Rattus norvegicus: one gene and its partners. The protein of the gene in region 2 interacts with the protein of the main gene of each other region in a pairwise test. Links are inferred from orthologs where the notes say so. Each region holds a gene or a part of one and is shown on either strand. Other genes may lie near its edges.

The links.
Region 1: the proteins of Trim27 (region 2) and Tbc1d22b interact in binary tests that used the Homo sapiens proteins (3 or more experiments, as listed by UniProt). The link is inferred for Rattus norvegicus from reciprocal best matches to the Homo sapiens genes TRIM27 and TBC1D22B.
Region 3: the proteins of Trim27 (region 2) and Pus7l interact in binary tests that used the Homo sapiens proteins (3 or more experiments, as listed by UniProt). The two-hybrid records come from large-scale screens. The link is inferred for Rattus norvegicus from reciprocal best matches to the Homo sapiens genes TRIM27 and PUS7L.

What each region holds. Positions count from the first base shown.
Region 1 is NC_086038.1:7,665,481-7,669,938, forward strand, and holds part of Tbc1d22b (TBC1 domain family member 22B), read left to right. Parts: intron 1-3,384; coding exon 3,385-3,512; intron 3,513-3,738; coding exon 3,739-3,834; intron 3,835-4,458. UniProt on the Homo sapiens protein: May act as a GTPase-activating protein for Rab family protein(s).
Region 2 is NC_086035.1:48,242,784-48,247,836, reverse strand, and holds the start of Trim27 (zinc finger protein RFP), read left to right. Parts: upstream 1-1,779; coding exon 1,780-2,199; intron 2,200-2,731; exon of another isoform or gene 2,732-2,870; intron 2,871-2,936; exon of another isoform or gene 2,937-3,074; intron 3,075-3,282; coding exon 3,283-3,378; intron 3,379-4,885; coding exon 4,886-5,053. Other genes in the region: uncharacterized protein LOC134482717, read right to left, coding at 812-848, 1,453-1,781. UniProt on the Homo sapiens protein: E3 ubiquitin-protein ligase that mediates ubiquitination of various substrates and thereby plays a role in diffent processes including proliferation, innate immunity, apoptosis, immune response or autophagy.
Region 3 is NC_086025.1:127,540,998-127,545,281, forward strand, and holds part of Pus7l (pseudouridylate synthase PUS7L), read right to left. Parts: intron 4,183-4,284; coding exon 4,101-4,182; intron 3,683-4,100; coding exon 3,405-3,682; intron 2,027-3,404; coding exon 1,973-2,026; intron 1-1,972. UniProt on the Homo sapiens protein: Pseudouridine synthase that catalyzes pseudouridylation of mRNAs.

The sequences.
Region 1 (4,458 bases), on a different chromosome or scaffold from region 2:
GTTTCCCAGCAGTGTTCTGGCCGTGCCCTTCTGTTCCAGAGCTGCCAGTGACTTCCCCTTCATTGCCTTTTGTATCCAGTTTGTGAGTTGACCTTGCCCGTCATGTAGTAACATACTGATCCCTGGCTTGACACAGGCTCCCGAGTCTGGCTGACACCCTAGTGGGACTTTGAACACCCCTCTGGGACCTGGGGGGGCTCCCTGGGAGGCAGAGATCTGGGGAGAGCTGGTGCTTACAGGAGTGGAGCGTCCCAGCTCTGGTCAGGCCCTAGGAAGACCTTAGAAAGCCCTAGTGATGGGGCTGGGGATTTAGCTCAGTGGTAGAGCGCTTACCTAGGAAGCGCAAGGCCCTGGGTTCGGTCCCCAGCTCCGAAAAAAAGAACCAAAAAAAAAAAAAAAAAAAGAAAGCCCTAGTGACAAGGACACTGTGGCCAGAGAGACGGACAGAGGAGGTTGGGAGTTAATCTTCCCTGCAGTGTGGACCTAGCAGGGGCCCTGTGACCAGAGATCCTGTAGGCCAGTGAGTGCCTTCAAGACTGCACCAAACATTGGTGTCCTCCCCCCTCTGCTGTGGGACTTCCTGTCCCATCCCTCCTTCCCCTGCACAGTTGGGTCTCTCACTTTCCCAGGTTCTCTTGGTCGTGGGAACATCCTTGGTTTGTCTTGGCTCCCTCATCTTTCCACGACCTAGGGCCTTGGTGCTCTCCCTCACGTGCCCCTCACAGTAGTTCTGTGCGTGGTAAATGGATCGTTCTCCCTCTGGGCCTTACACTCTGCCCAGCCGCCAGCGCCATACTGGGCTGTCATTCCCCTGAGCCTTGTATAGGGTGCATGCTGTCCTCTTGGGGAACTCAACGGCCCCCAGGGCTGGTCATCAGGTGGATTCCAGATGGCACAGACAGTGGTTTCTTCTGCTGTCTACCTCCCTTTTCTTTTTCTGGCCTAGGTAAATAAAGGCATGAAGATTAAAAATAGTGGGGTTTTTAAAAAATGTGTACACTGGGCTGTGGAGCTGATACATTGGGCTAGGATGCTTCCTCCCAAGCCTGCCAACCTGATCATCATGGTAGACAGAGCACACGGACTACTGCAAGCTGTCCTCTGACCTCCACAAGACTACACACACACGCACACACACACACACACACACACACACACACACCCCTCGCACCACACACACACCACACACACACACACACCACACACGCACCACACACACACAAACATACACCCTCACACCACACACACACCCCTCACACCACACACACAACACACACACACACACACACTCCTCACACCACACACACACACCACACACACATACACACACACACATACCACACCACACATACACACCACACACACACATACACACACCCTCACACCACACACACACACCTCTCACACCACACACACACACACCACACACACACCTCACACCACACACACACACACCACACACACACCCCTCACACCACACACACACCACACACATATACCTCACACCACACACACACACATATACACACCCCTCACACCACACACACACATACACATACACACACACACCACATACACATACACACACACACCACACACACACCACATACACATACACACACACACATACACACACCCTCACACCACACACACACCACACACAGACACACACACACACACGCACACACACCACACACATACACACACACCACACACACACACCACACACACACATATACACACACCACACACACACACACTCCTCACACCACACACACACACACCACACACACATACACACACATACACACACATACCACACACACACATGCACACACCCTCATACCACATACACACACTCCTCACACCACACATACACACACACCACACACACATACACACCACACACACACACACCACACACACATACACCACACACACATACACACACCCTCACACCACACACACACACCTCTCATACCACACACACACCACACACACATACACACCACACACACACACACACACCACACACCACACACACATACACCACACACACATACACACACCCTCACACCACACACACACACACACACATACAAACACCCCTCACACACCACACACACACACACACCCCTCACACACACACACATACAAACACCCCTCACACACCACACACACACACACACACACCCCTCACACACCCCCCCACACTATATAGATGTGCAGCACACTCTTGTACCTTATGCACTTTCTCATTACAAAGACCATACAACAGCAACAACCCCACAGCTGTTCACAGCCCCCAGGCCTTAGATTCCAGCCCCTAAGCAACCATTGCTCCTCTTGAAGCCCTGGACTGAGCCGTCAGACACTATTTTACAGATCGGCTTTCTCAGTTTTCCTCCCCAGAGTCCTCTGAAGTGTGAGGGGTTATCCTCAATAAAACTCGAAAGGAAAAAAGTTATTGGGGAGGGGTACACACACGCCACCACGTGGAAGGGGGAGTCAGGACAACACCCAGGAGTCCATTACCTCTTTCAGTCAGATGGGTTCCAGGGGTCAGGTCATCAGGCTTGGTGGCCGATGCCTTTACTCATTGAGCCGTCTTGCTGGCCTCTGATTGTCCCATTTTATAAATGAGAAGATGGTGATTTAAAACCGTGCCATCAGCGGGGCTGGAGTGGTGGCTCGTGGGTCACAAGCCCCTTGCTGCTCTTCCAGAGGACCCACGTTCAGTTCTGAGCGCCCACATGGCGTGGCTCACAGCTGTCTGTAACTCCTGGGACTCTGATGCCTCTGATACTCTTGTGCACACGCCCACACGCAGACACACGCCTACATGTCATTCAGTACAAATGCATCTTAAAGCATCAGGAACAAAAACCCATCGAGCCTTAGTCTCCAAGCCCTCATGCAGGATAGGGGACCAGGCCAGGCCAACTGGCTCAGGACGCTACACAGGGCAGGAGCCAAGTGGCAGGTGGCAGCTAGTTTCAACCGAATTTGCAGAATAATCTCCTGGTGAGTCCCCTCCTACAAGAAAGAAGCCACCTCTGCTGGCCACCTGTCAGGGATGCTGAAGGGAGCTGGCCAAGGTGGCCTCCAGGGTTCCTGGCCTTGCCCTGTAGAGTAATTAGGCTCCGCAGCCAAGTTTACCTCATGTCTTCATGGCCAGTGCAGCCCCCGGATGACAGCGGGCACCTGGGAATGGCTTGGTGGATGATGGCGTGCCATGCACCACGCCGTGCACCACGTGCTGACCTCAGCCACAAGCAGGACTGAGATGTTGGGATCCAAGGTCAGCCCACCGGGGAGGGGCTGGTAAGAAACAGAGCCCGCTCCTGGCCGTGCTGGTGGCTCCTGACCTGGTGCCACTTTCAGAGCAGGTACACAGTCACTTCAGGAGGTATGAGGTGGAGTACCTGCAGTTTGCCTTCCGGTGGATGAACAACCTGCTGATGCGGGAGCTTCCCCTGCGCTGCACCATCCGCCTGTGGGATACCTACCAGGTATGGAGGGGCCCCTGCCTTTCAGCCAGCCCTGCTGGGCCCGACACCCTGTGCAGCCTCTCTGCCCACCTTCATCCTGTGTCTGCTGAGGCCTTTGGAAGTCTCATAAGCCCATCTCTGTCACATAAGGGGTTTTAGCCAGGCTTTCCACCGTGCAGGTAGCTGGGAAGGGAGAGGCTCACAGTGGGGGCTCGGAGGCCTGCCTGACTCTTCTTTTCTTTCTCAGTCTGAGCCAGAAGGCTTCTCGCACTTCCATCTCTACGTGTGCGCCGCCTTCTTGATCAAGTGGAGGAAGGAGATTTTGGATGAGGAAGACTTTCAGGTAAGTGGGCAGAGGTGCGGCTGCGGACGCTCGCCTGGGCCCTAGGGTCTTCCCAGTGGGAAGGGTCTTTGTGCAGGAAGGGCTGCAGAGTGGCTGCAGAGTGGCTGTGCAGATCCCTCATTCACTCACTGACAGGTGTTGATTGCAGCCTGCTCTGTGAGTCACCATGGAGGCCTAGGACATCCTGGGAAGTGAAACAGGCAGAGGGCCGTTCTCACACAGCCCCCGTGCTGAGGGAAGACAGGCAGTAGACAAAGGCGCAGGGGCCTACAGAGACGCTGGGGATAAGTACACACTGCGCAAGGCCCAGCAACCTCTGCGGGAGGGGAGGCTGCAGCTTCACCCGAAGCAGTCAGGATGAGCTCACCAAAGGCCTGAGGAGGGTCATGGAGCAGGCCACGTGGCTTCTAGGGCAGAGGGGATGACTGGCCCAGAGGCTTTAAGTCAGCCCGGCTGAGGGGTTGTGAAGCAGGCAGCAGTGGAAGAGCAGAGCCAGCTAAGGCAGAGGCAGGAAGTGGCTGTGAGCACCATGGTCGTTCCCGGCAGGCCTTAGGCATGGAGTGGATATACTCTTTTTTTTTTTTTTTTTTTTTTTTTTTTCGGAGCTGGGGACCGAACCCAGGG
Region 2 (5,053 bases):
GAGTAGAACTTTCAATTCCAACTTCAGTTTTGAACCAGACTAGACAGACTATGGTGTGGCCTAGGACAAGCATTCTACCTTTTACTGGAAGTGTGCTGAATTATTTGAGCCTGGAGTTTCAAAAGGGCAGGTAGGAGAATGGAGGCTTGGGTGAGCAAGACTTGTTAGTGCCTCGGATTTCTTGTCCCAAGGGAAAGAACCGAGCAGAATCCAATGAAGTGATGCTCTGGATACAGAAATTCCCTGTCCAGACACTGAGTCAATCCCAAAGGAGAGTAGGAAAGGCCACGGCAGAAGTGACAGGGCACAGAACTGCAAATCTATTCTGTGATAAGAAGCTAGCCTACAAGACCTCCTCGGGTCGTCGCAGAATTCTCAATTGGGCAGAAACAAGCAAGTTTTAGGTTCTACTCAATGCCGTTCAATGCACTGGACACTTCATTTAAACTAATGGATAAAAATCTTTATGGCTCAAGCTGTGTTTTAAAAAGTTTAACTCACGGATGGGGAAAATTCCTGAAAGCAACAGTGTATGGGGGCTCAAGGAAGACACTGAAACAGACTGCTGGGAGTAAGAACTTTATTAGCGCCATAGGCAGATAGGCGGTGGACAATCAGAATTTCTGGCCGCGCCACAGGCGCCAGGGGGAGGTGGGGGCTGGGGAGTGTTCGAGAATGAAGCCCACGTGGCAGAATCAGGGTCGTTTCTTCTAGGGTCTCATAGGAACCCGCGGCCAGGCTCCTTCCTCAGCAGGTGGTAGGGAAGAAGTGTGTCATCAAGTAGCTCTTTGATATGTCTGGTCTGGCTACTTCACTTGAGGAAGTGAGAAACTGGGCACCAGAGGAGCCTGTTAAGAAGTTAGGGACTCACAAGCGGGCTCTCGGTGAGGCAGCTCCCTAGTAGCCGGAAGGCTAGAGAGAAGGGGAAGGACTTCAGTAGGTATCAGGGTCTGGTGAGCACTCTGGTCTGGATTCTATCAATCCCCCATTTCACGCGAGAAGAAAATGAGGCTCGGAACGATAAACAAACTTACTTTAGGGTGGAAGTAGAAGTGGGCTTCTCCATTTCTGCCACTGAGAAAAGTTGCTGATAATAAAACCTTTTTCTGGCGATTATTATCGCCTGGAGTTGGGTGTGTTTCAGAGTGCTTCACACACTGGGAGGGGCTTAGCTGGTCTCTCAGCCCAGTTTTCCGGCACTTATGCAAAGCCACCTTGCATTTAAAGGAGCCAAGGCCTAGGCACTAAGAAGACACCCGGCAAAGGACTACGGATCCACCAAAGCTTAGAGTATCCCGACCCCACTGCCAGGGACACCCTGCTCCCACTGCAAAGGGCAACCACCACCGACTCCCGGGCTGGGTACCGGGGCTCCAGGACTGCGCCGAGGAAACCCGCCTTCCCGCCCCGGAGGAGAGCGGCGCGGGAAGCCAGGCCCCGCCCCCGGCCCACCTCTTCCGCTCGGCCCTTAGGAGTCTGCGCGGCCCTGGGATCCCTTCCGACGCGGCCACGTTGCCCGGTGAGCCATCCTGCAGCGCCGGGTTCCCGACACCCCTCTGCTCGGCTCTCAGCCGGGCCCTGGGGCCCAGGCCTTCCCGCGCTGTCCGTGAGGTGCAGCTGTGCGGGGACGGGTCTGGCCGCCCCAGAGCTCCGCACGCGTCTAGGATCCCCGCGCCGGAGGCCCCACCCCGCTCCGGATCTGAGAAGCCGAGAGAGAGCGCCGGGCTCTGCCAGAGCTCGGCTCCGGGCTCATGCCCTGCGGCCCAGCCGGCTCGCGCCATGGCCTCAGGGAGCGTGGCCGAGTCCCTGCAGCAGGAGACCACCTGCCCCGTGTGTCTTCAATACTTTGTGGAACCCATGATGCTCGACTGCGGCCACAACATCTGTTGCGCGTGCCTGGCCCGCTGCTGGGGTGCCGCGGAGACTAACGTGTCGTGCCCGCAGTGCCGGGAGACCTTCCCGCAGCGCCACATGCGGCCCAACCGGCACCTGGCCAACGTGACCCAGCTGGTGAAGCAACTGCGCACCGAGCGGCCGTCGGGGCCGGACGGCGAGATGGGCGTGTGCGAGAAGCACCGCGAGCCTCTGAAGCTGTACTGCGAGCAGGACCAGATGCCCATCTGCGTGGTGTGCGACCGCTCGCGCGAGCACCGTGGCCACAGCGTGCTGCCGCTGGAGGAGGCTGTGGAAGGCTTCAAGGTAGGGCCGGGCCGGCGGACAAAGAGGAGAGCCGGGGGCTTCCTGGTTTGCCGCCGAGAAAATGGCGAGCCGGACGTGGGGCCCACCGCCGTCATTTCCTCCCTGTCGGCTGCGGAGCCTCCGCGCTCAGACTCGGAAGGAGAACCTGTAGCTGGCGAGGCCAGAGGCGTCCCCACCCCCACCCCTTCTCCGAGCGCCCCCTGTTAACTGCCTCAACGCGTGCCGCGGCTGGGACGGCGCGAGGAGACCCTCCCTTGACAAAGGAGATGCACATGGAGCCATGTCCACTTCCATAGGCCTTGAACACCTCGAACTTGCTCTGGCCCAGGATATCAAACCAGACAGCCCCTGTTGGCTGGCCGAATTCACATCGACCGATGCCTATCACTTAATCTAAGCCCCCAGCGCTTCCCTGTAACCTGTTTTAGAACCTAATGGAAATGAACAGAGCTCTTTACTGCTTGAGTAAATCATTTAGCCACTCTCAGACTCGGGAGATAACTTAATGAAGAGGAAGTGAACTCACAGGACCTGAAGAGGCCTTTGTTGAATAAACACTGGCACAGCTACACAGTAATTCGAAAATGTTACATATAAAGTAACTCTCAAGTGATAATGAGTCTGTTTTGAGGACTGCAGGGATATGTACCAACAGTTAGATTTGTTTAAATGTGAGTTCATCCAAATGTCAGTCACGTTTACAAAGCTGTATCATTTCACTCACTGGAAATAAAGTTGTAATTTAGTAATGCTTACCAGTTCTGTGCATGAGGAAAATAAATCATTTTTTTCTGTATTCGTCTGAGGAATAGCTTACCTTTTGAGCCTCTTTACCCAGATGTCTCATAACCTGTGCAGAATGCTTCTAGGAACTGGTAGGTGGCTTGAGTTTAACAAATTTCTAAAACAGCTGTGCTGGACCCTGTGCTTTAGGCTCTTCCCAGGAATGGCACTGTGGTCTGAGGACAGAGTCCAGCCCGGCCTTGGCATCTGTAGTTTGGGTTCCTGTGTCATAAGCAGAGTAGCTATTTTGATGCTGAGATCTGCAAAATTCTGAATTGGCTGACTGTTTACTTTCTTCAGGAGCAAATCCAGAATCGGCTGGACCACCTAAGAAGAGTGAAAGACTTGAAGAAGAGACGGAGGGCACAGGGGGAGCAGGCACGAGCTGAGCTCCTGGTAAGGGTCCAGGTCTCCAGCCTGCAGAGAGGCATTGCATCAGGATAGCCTTGGCAAGGGTGTAATGAAAACTTCTAAGCAGAGCATTTCCCCTTGGTGTCTGTCATTCCTATCATTTAGCTCCATCCTGTCTCTGAGTGAGTGCGATCTTGACACCTCTTGCTTGAAAACAGGATGAAGAAACTTCTCAGTGATCTTGTGTAGACTAAACTTAAACATACAATGTATCATATCAGCTTTGGGAGGATTTTCCAGAGAGAAATACTTGTGCCAGTGTGTCAGTCACACTGCTTTGGATATACTCAGTAAATTGATCTTTAGCCTTAATTTTGTCTAAGGTTATATTGTATACTTTATACCTTTGAAAGACTTATCCAGGTTAAAAGAGGTATAAGGGGCCCTTGGAACAGTTGAATTCAAGTCAGATTTTAGCAAACTTTCTGAAAGGGGCCAGTAATAAGTATTTTTAGCTTTGTTAATTTACACAAGCTAAATCACAACACCTCAGTCATTGCATCTCAAAAACAGCCATGTCTAATACATAAATGAGTGGGTTTGGCTGGATTCAAGTAAAATCTTTCTTGACTGCTCTAGAGCCATTTTGCTGACCATTTGTTTATTCAGAAATAGTTTCACTATGCAATCCAGGATGGTCTTGAACTCTCCATATTCCTGCCTTAGTCTCCCCAAGTGCTGGAATTATAGTATGCACTGCCACACTTGGTTTATAATCTTAGAACTCTAGGTTTTTTAGGATGTCTTAGGTAGCCCCAGTTGATCTTAAGTTCATTATATAGTTAAGAGTGATCCTGAAGTTCCAGTCTTGCCTTGTCTGCCTTCCAAGTGCTAGGAATGCAGGCATGGAGGAATTAGAAATGTAGGAAAGATAGACAAACCAATAGAAACATTGTATGGAGAGGAACCCATAAGCACCCCCTAAAAAATCAGGGCATGGATTACTTACTGAGACCAAGTAAACACATCCAGGAAACTTGTGCTTGCTCGATCATACCAGGTCATGTCCACAGAGTGCACACCTAACCCTGCCATTTCACTGTGATTGTTTCATGACTCCGCCTGCCAGGCAAGATGTTCATGGGCTCCAGTCATGTAGAACAATGCCTTTTCTCCCCACTTTATTGCCTGTGCCATTTGCTCAGCCTAGACAGCCTGTCTAGTTTATGCTTACATGGCATTCTACAAGACCTGTGCAAACATGGACTTTAGGAAGACAGTTGAGTTTCAGTGTCTTTACCTATCCGTGGATGAACCTGACCCTGATTTGACTGGGTCCCTTAAGATTAGAGACTGTTTATTAATTAAGATTTGAAGTAATTCAGTCCGTGGTCGGCACGTGTCTGTGTAGACTGGAAAGTGAGTGGGTGAGCATAGTGTCTGTTTTCATGTAACTTGAAATGGTGAGATCTTTGGGTTAAGTCATGGGGGTTATTTTGAAGGATTCTAACAGTGAGCCTTTCCTATTCTTACCTTTGCTTGTCATTTACAGAGCCTGACCCAGATGGAGAGGGAAAAAATTGTTTGGGAGTTTGAGCAGCTGTATCACTCTTTGAAGGAACATGAGTATCGCCTGTTGGCTCGCCTTGAGGAGCTAGACTTGGCCATCTATAATAGCATCAACGGTGCCATCACTCAGTTCTCCTGCAACATCTCCCAC
Region 3 (4,284 bases), on a different chromosome or scaffold from region 2:
TTCCCGGAGTTGACGGACACTTGGATTCTATAATCCCCGCTAAGAGTGGTGTGTCACATAGACAACATGGCACAGAATGGCAGAAGCATACTTACGGCCATGTCAGAAACTGCTGAAAATGCTGTCCTCATCCCAGGTCAAAACTCATCTAACGGTTGTTCTTAAAAGTCAACAGCCAATACGGCAATTTTTAAAATCAAGCATTCTAATACAATATGGCACAAGCATACATTAATTTGATATTTACATGCTGATGGATGATGACAGAAAAAAATATTAAGTCTGTTTTCCAGAAGTAAGCCATTTGTTTTTTTTTTTTAAAAAAAAAAAAAAAAAACAGGAAATTTTATATGTGCACTAAAACCTACAACTGCTAATGTGTGATAGTCTGGAATCTGAGCTGAGGTGTTCAGGTGACGTCATCATCACCACCATCACCCTCATCACCATCACCCTCACCACCCTCATCACCATCATCACCATCATCATCATCACCACCATCACCATCATCACCATCACCACCCTCATCACCATCACCCTCACCACCCTCATCACCCTCACCACCCTCATCACCCTCATCACCACCATCACCCTCATCACCATCACCCTCATCACCCTCATCACCATCATCACCCTCATCACCATCATCACCCTCATCACCCTCATTCCCTCATCACCCTCATCACCCTCATCACCATCATCACCCTCATCACCATCATCACCCTCATCACCCTCATCACCATCATCACCCTCATCACCATCATCACCCTCATCACCATCATCACCCTCATCACCATCACATCATCACCACCATCACCACCATCACCATCACCCTCATCACCCTCATCACCACCATCATTATCATCACCATCACCCTCATCACCCTCATCACCATCACCACCCTCATCACCATCATCATCACCACCACCATCACCATCATCACCTTCACACCCTCATCACCACCATCATCATCACCACCTTCACCATCACCCTCGTCACCCTCATCACCATCACCATTATCATCACCACCATCATCATCATCACCACCACCACCACAATCACCATCATCATCACCCTCACCATCTGCACGGCTGAGCATGCAGCGCTCACGGTGCAAAGTTACATGTGTTGCCATGCAGAGCCTGGCCTGCAGTGAGGCCACATGATGCAACACTGGCAAACGCTTCTACAGATACCTTGGGTGTGTTACGCACTTGGGTTTCAGCTTAGCTTTCTGTCAGTGCGCGCTCAGAAACCTTGTGCTGCTACAGATGTTTACCCGGCTCCCACATTCCGACATAGGGTCACAGCCTACAGACTTAGAAGCTGGGCTATAGATTCAATGAAGGTCACACAGATACCATGTGACACTATTCATGTGATATCCTCTCCCCCCGCCCCCAGGGGTAGAGCGCAGTAAAATGAAATAAAAAGAGTAAATCAGTGACTCTCGTGAGTCAGGATTAATGCAACCCTGGAGGTAGGATTGATGGTCTGACAGTGGGAAACCCTGGAGGGAGACATGAACACATAGTCACTGTACGCATGACTATATGTGTTTATCAGAAGCAAGTTGGAGCTGGAGAGATGGCTCAGAAGTTAAGAGCACTGACTGGTCTTCCAGAGGTCCTGAGTTCAAGTCCCAGCAACCACACGGTGGGTGGCTCACAACCATGTGTAATGAGGTCTGATGCCCTCTCCTGGTGTGTCTGAAGACAGCTACAGTGTATTCATATACATTAAAAAAGTAAATAAATCTTTTTTTAAAAAAGAAGCATAAGTTAAATTATTAGGACGTAAATGGTAGCATAAACAATCTCTTATAAGCATAAATTCATTAAAGAAGCATAAATTATTAGGATATAAAGCATTACTTAATCTAAAAGTTACCTAAGAAGGGAGGGTCAGATTTGTCTCTAGCAGACAATGCTTATTTAAAATCTAAGTGACAGTGACTTCTGATCACGTTTACCTGGTGCAGTGCATATGTGTCAGCTGACTCCTCTTCCTCGGTCACCAGGTGAACCTAGTTTTATAAAAAAGAAAAAAATATACGACAGAAATGAGTGGTTCCCAAATGCTGAGATTACCTCACTGATCCCTGACTCTGGCCCACACACTGAATATACACATGCTCAAACACCGTCTCTTTATAATCGCTTGTCTCCAGAGAAGCCCACGACACAAAAACAGGCCAATCCTTTCTGCATCGACCTCACAGTGCAGAAGCGAGCGAGCAAGCGAGCGAGCGAGCGAGCGAGCTGCAACCGTGGCTGCCTCCCGACAGCACTTCTTCTGTCACCCACGAATTATGCCGAACTGAACATCTGCTTCTACAGAGCCAGCCCTGCCTTCAACCACCCCGTCCCCAGGAAACACGGCCATAGTTTACCCAGCCGTTTGCCAGTATTTGTTCCAGAGAACGGTTGTAGGCTTCAGAGACGGGAAGAGAAGGAAGGTGGTGTGCGATGTATTACGTTTGAAAAGCTCTGCTCAGAGCGTCACAGAACACACAGTCCTTGGCTGGAGAGATGCTCAGCTGTGAGCAGCCCTTGCCACTCTTGCAGAGACACGGACGGTGCCTGAATAAATCATGGGTTTCAGACATAGGGCCGATAAATTCATGCTGGGTTCTCTTTTAATTAGCCCAAGGTAGATCTCTATTACCTCAAATTATTCGTATATAGGGAGCCCAGCATTAATCTAGGTGAAGCTTTCTTTAGGCAAAGCTCAGAGTCGACCTTCCCTCACGTTTTGAAGTGCTGGGCTGTGATGTATCTTTATTAACTGACTACTAGATCTACATTCTGGTTCCTCCTCAGGAGACCCACCTAGACTCCTGGGTCTTTTTAGGCACACTACCTTGGCGGTTCTGAATTTTTCCGAAACTTCCCACCTGGGCATCAGCTCTCATTCCTATAGAATGAGAGTTAAAGAACCAGATATCTGAAATCCTTTTCCCCTAAAACCTAACAATTTTACAATGTGTCATATCCTCATAGCACCATCAAAGAACTTTCTTTCGGGGAAAGCAGAGAGACACATGCTGGCCGAGGAGGCCAGGGACAGAGCACGCCTAGTTGGGGTGTGTGGGCAAGCCAGCTCTGGACGGTTCATTCTTGTTTTTAAGAGGACAGATCTGTGCATTACACGTACAGGTGTGTGTGTGTGTGTGTGTGTGTGTGTGTGTGTGTGTGTGTGTGTGTGTGTGTCTGTGTGTGTGTGTGTGTGTGTGTGTGTGTGTGTTTGGAAGTGTGCTCTTTAATGAAAGCCTTGCCACCTTTCACTCTGTGCCACTGTTTCTACACTTAGCAACCCTTGGCTGTCAGAAAAGTCAAGCCGGAAACCAGCAAACGGAATTGCTGTCTCTGGTGCGGCGAGTCACCTCCGTGGCCGGTACTCACTTTACTGCTTGGAAGATGCTCGTCCGCATCTTCATCCAAGCAGACCAGGTCCCCCTTCACCACCTTGGGTCCGTAGGCTGCCAGTCTGTACGACGCTGCCTCGTTCCAAATCCTGCTACTGTATGCGTGGATGTAGAATATACGCATGGAATGGGGGAAGGAGAACCAGGCCTGGACGCAGCCTTCCTCCGTCACGCCAAAGCGATGCAAGGACTCCAGCAGCGCGCGCTCTCGAACCCGGAACTCGGGCATCAGTGAAAGCGTGCCTTTAGCGTCCTCTGAAACGAAGAACAAATCAGCTCGTAGCCACTTCCACGGCAGAGCTACCCGCAGGATGCCTTTTCGAGCAGCCTAAATGAAAGGCAGTCCTTTGTGGAGACATGGAGTAGTACTGGTTAAGCCCGATGATACTTGAAAAGGCTTGCTTTTCTCTTTCTTTCTTTTTTTTTTTTTAGATTTTATTTTCCTTGAAAAATAAGAAAGAGCAAACGAACCTCTGGTCAACAGGAGGGGCTGACCGGACCCCTTCCTTTAGGAAAGTGTTAATCTAATTCAGAAGACTGGTAAATAAAAACTACCAATCACCAAAGATCAAATAAGCCAGCAAGCTGCTGGGGTCTGGGAGTTTCGAAAGGAGAGTTATGGACATCCAATAGAACATCAGCGGCATCCGCAGCTGTAAAGAAACCTACATACCAGTTTGGAGGAAGTATTTCTTTGCTTTATTGACAGGATCATCCGCGTCTTCTGGCGTGAGAAATAATTTTATGGCCTTTACCTGGAAAAATTAACCAAGTAAAGATGTTTTATAAAAAATGACCAATTACTTTTTTTTAAAGGAGGCAAATTCTTGGGCATCCTTAAAGGACTGAAAATGTTG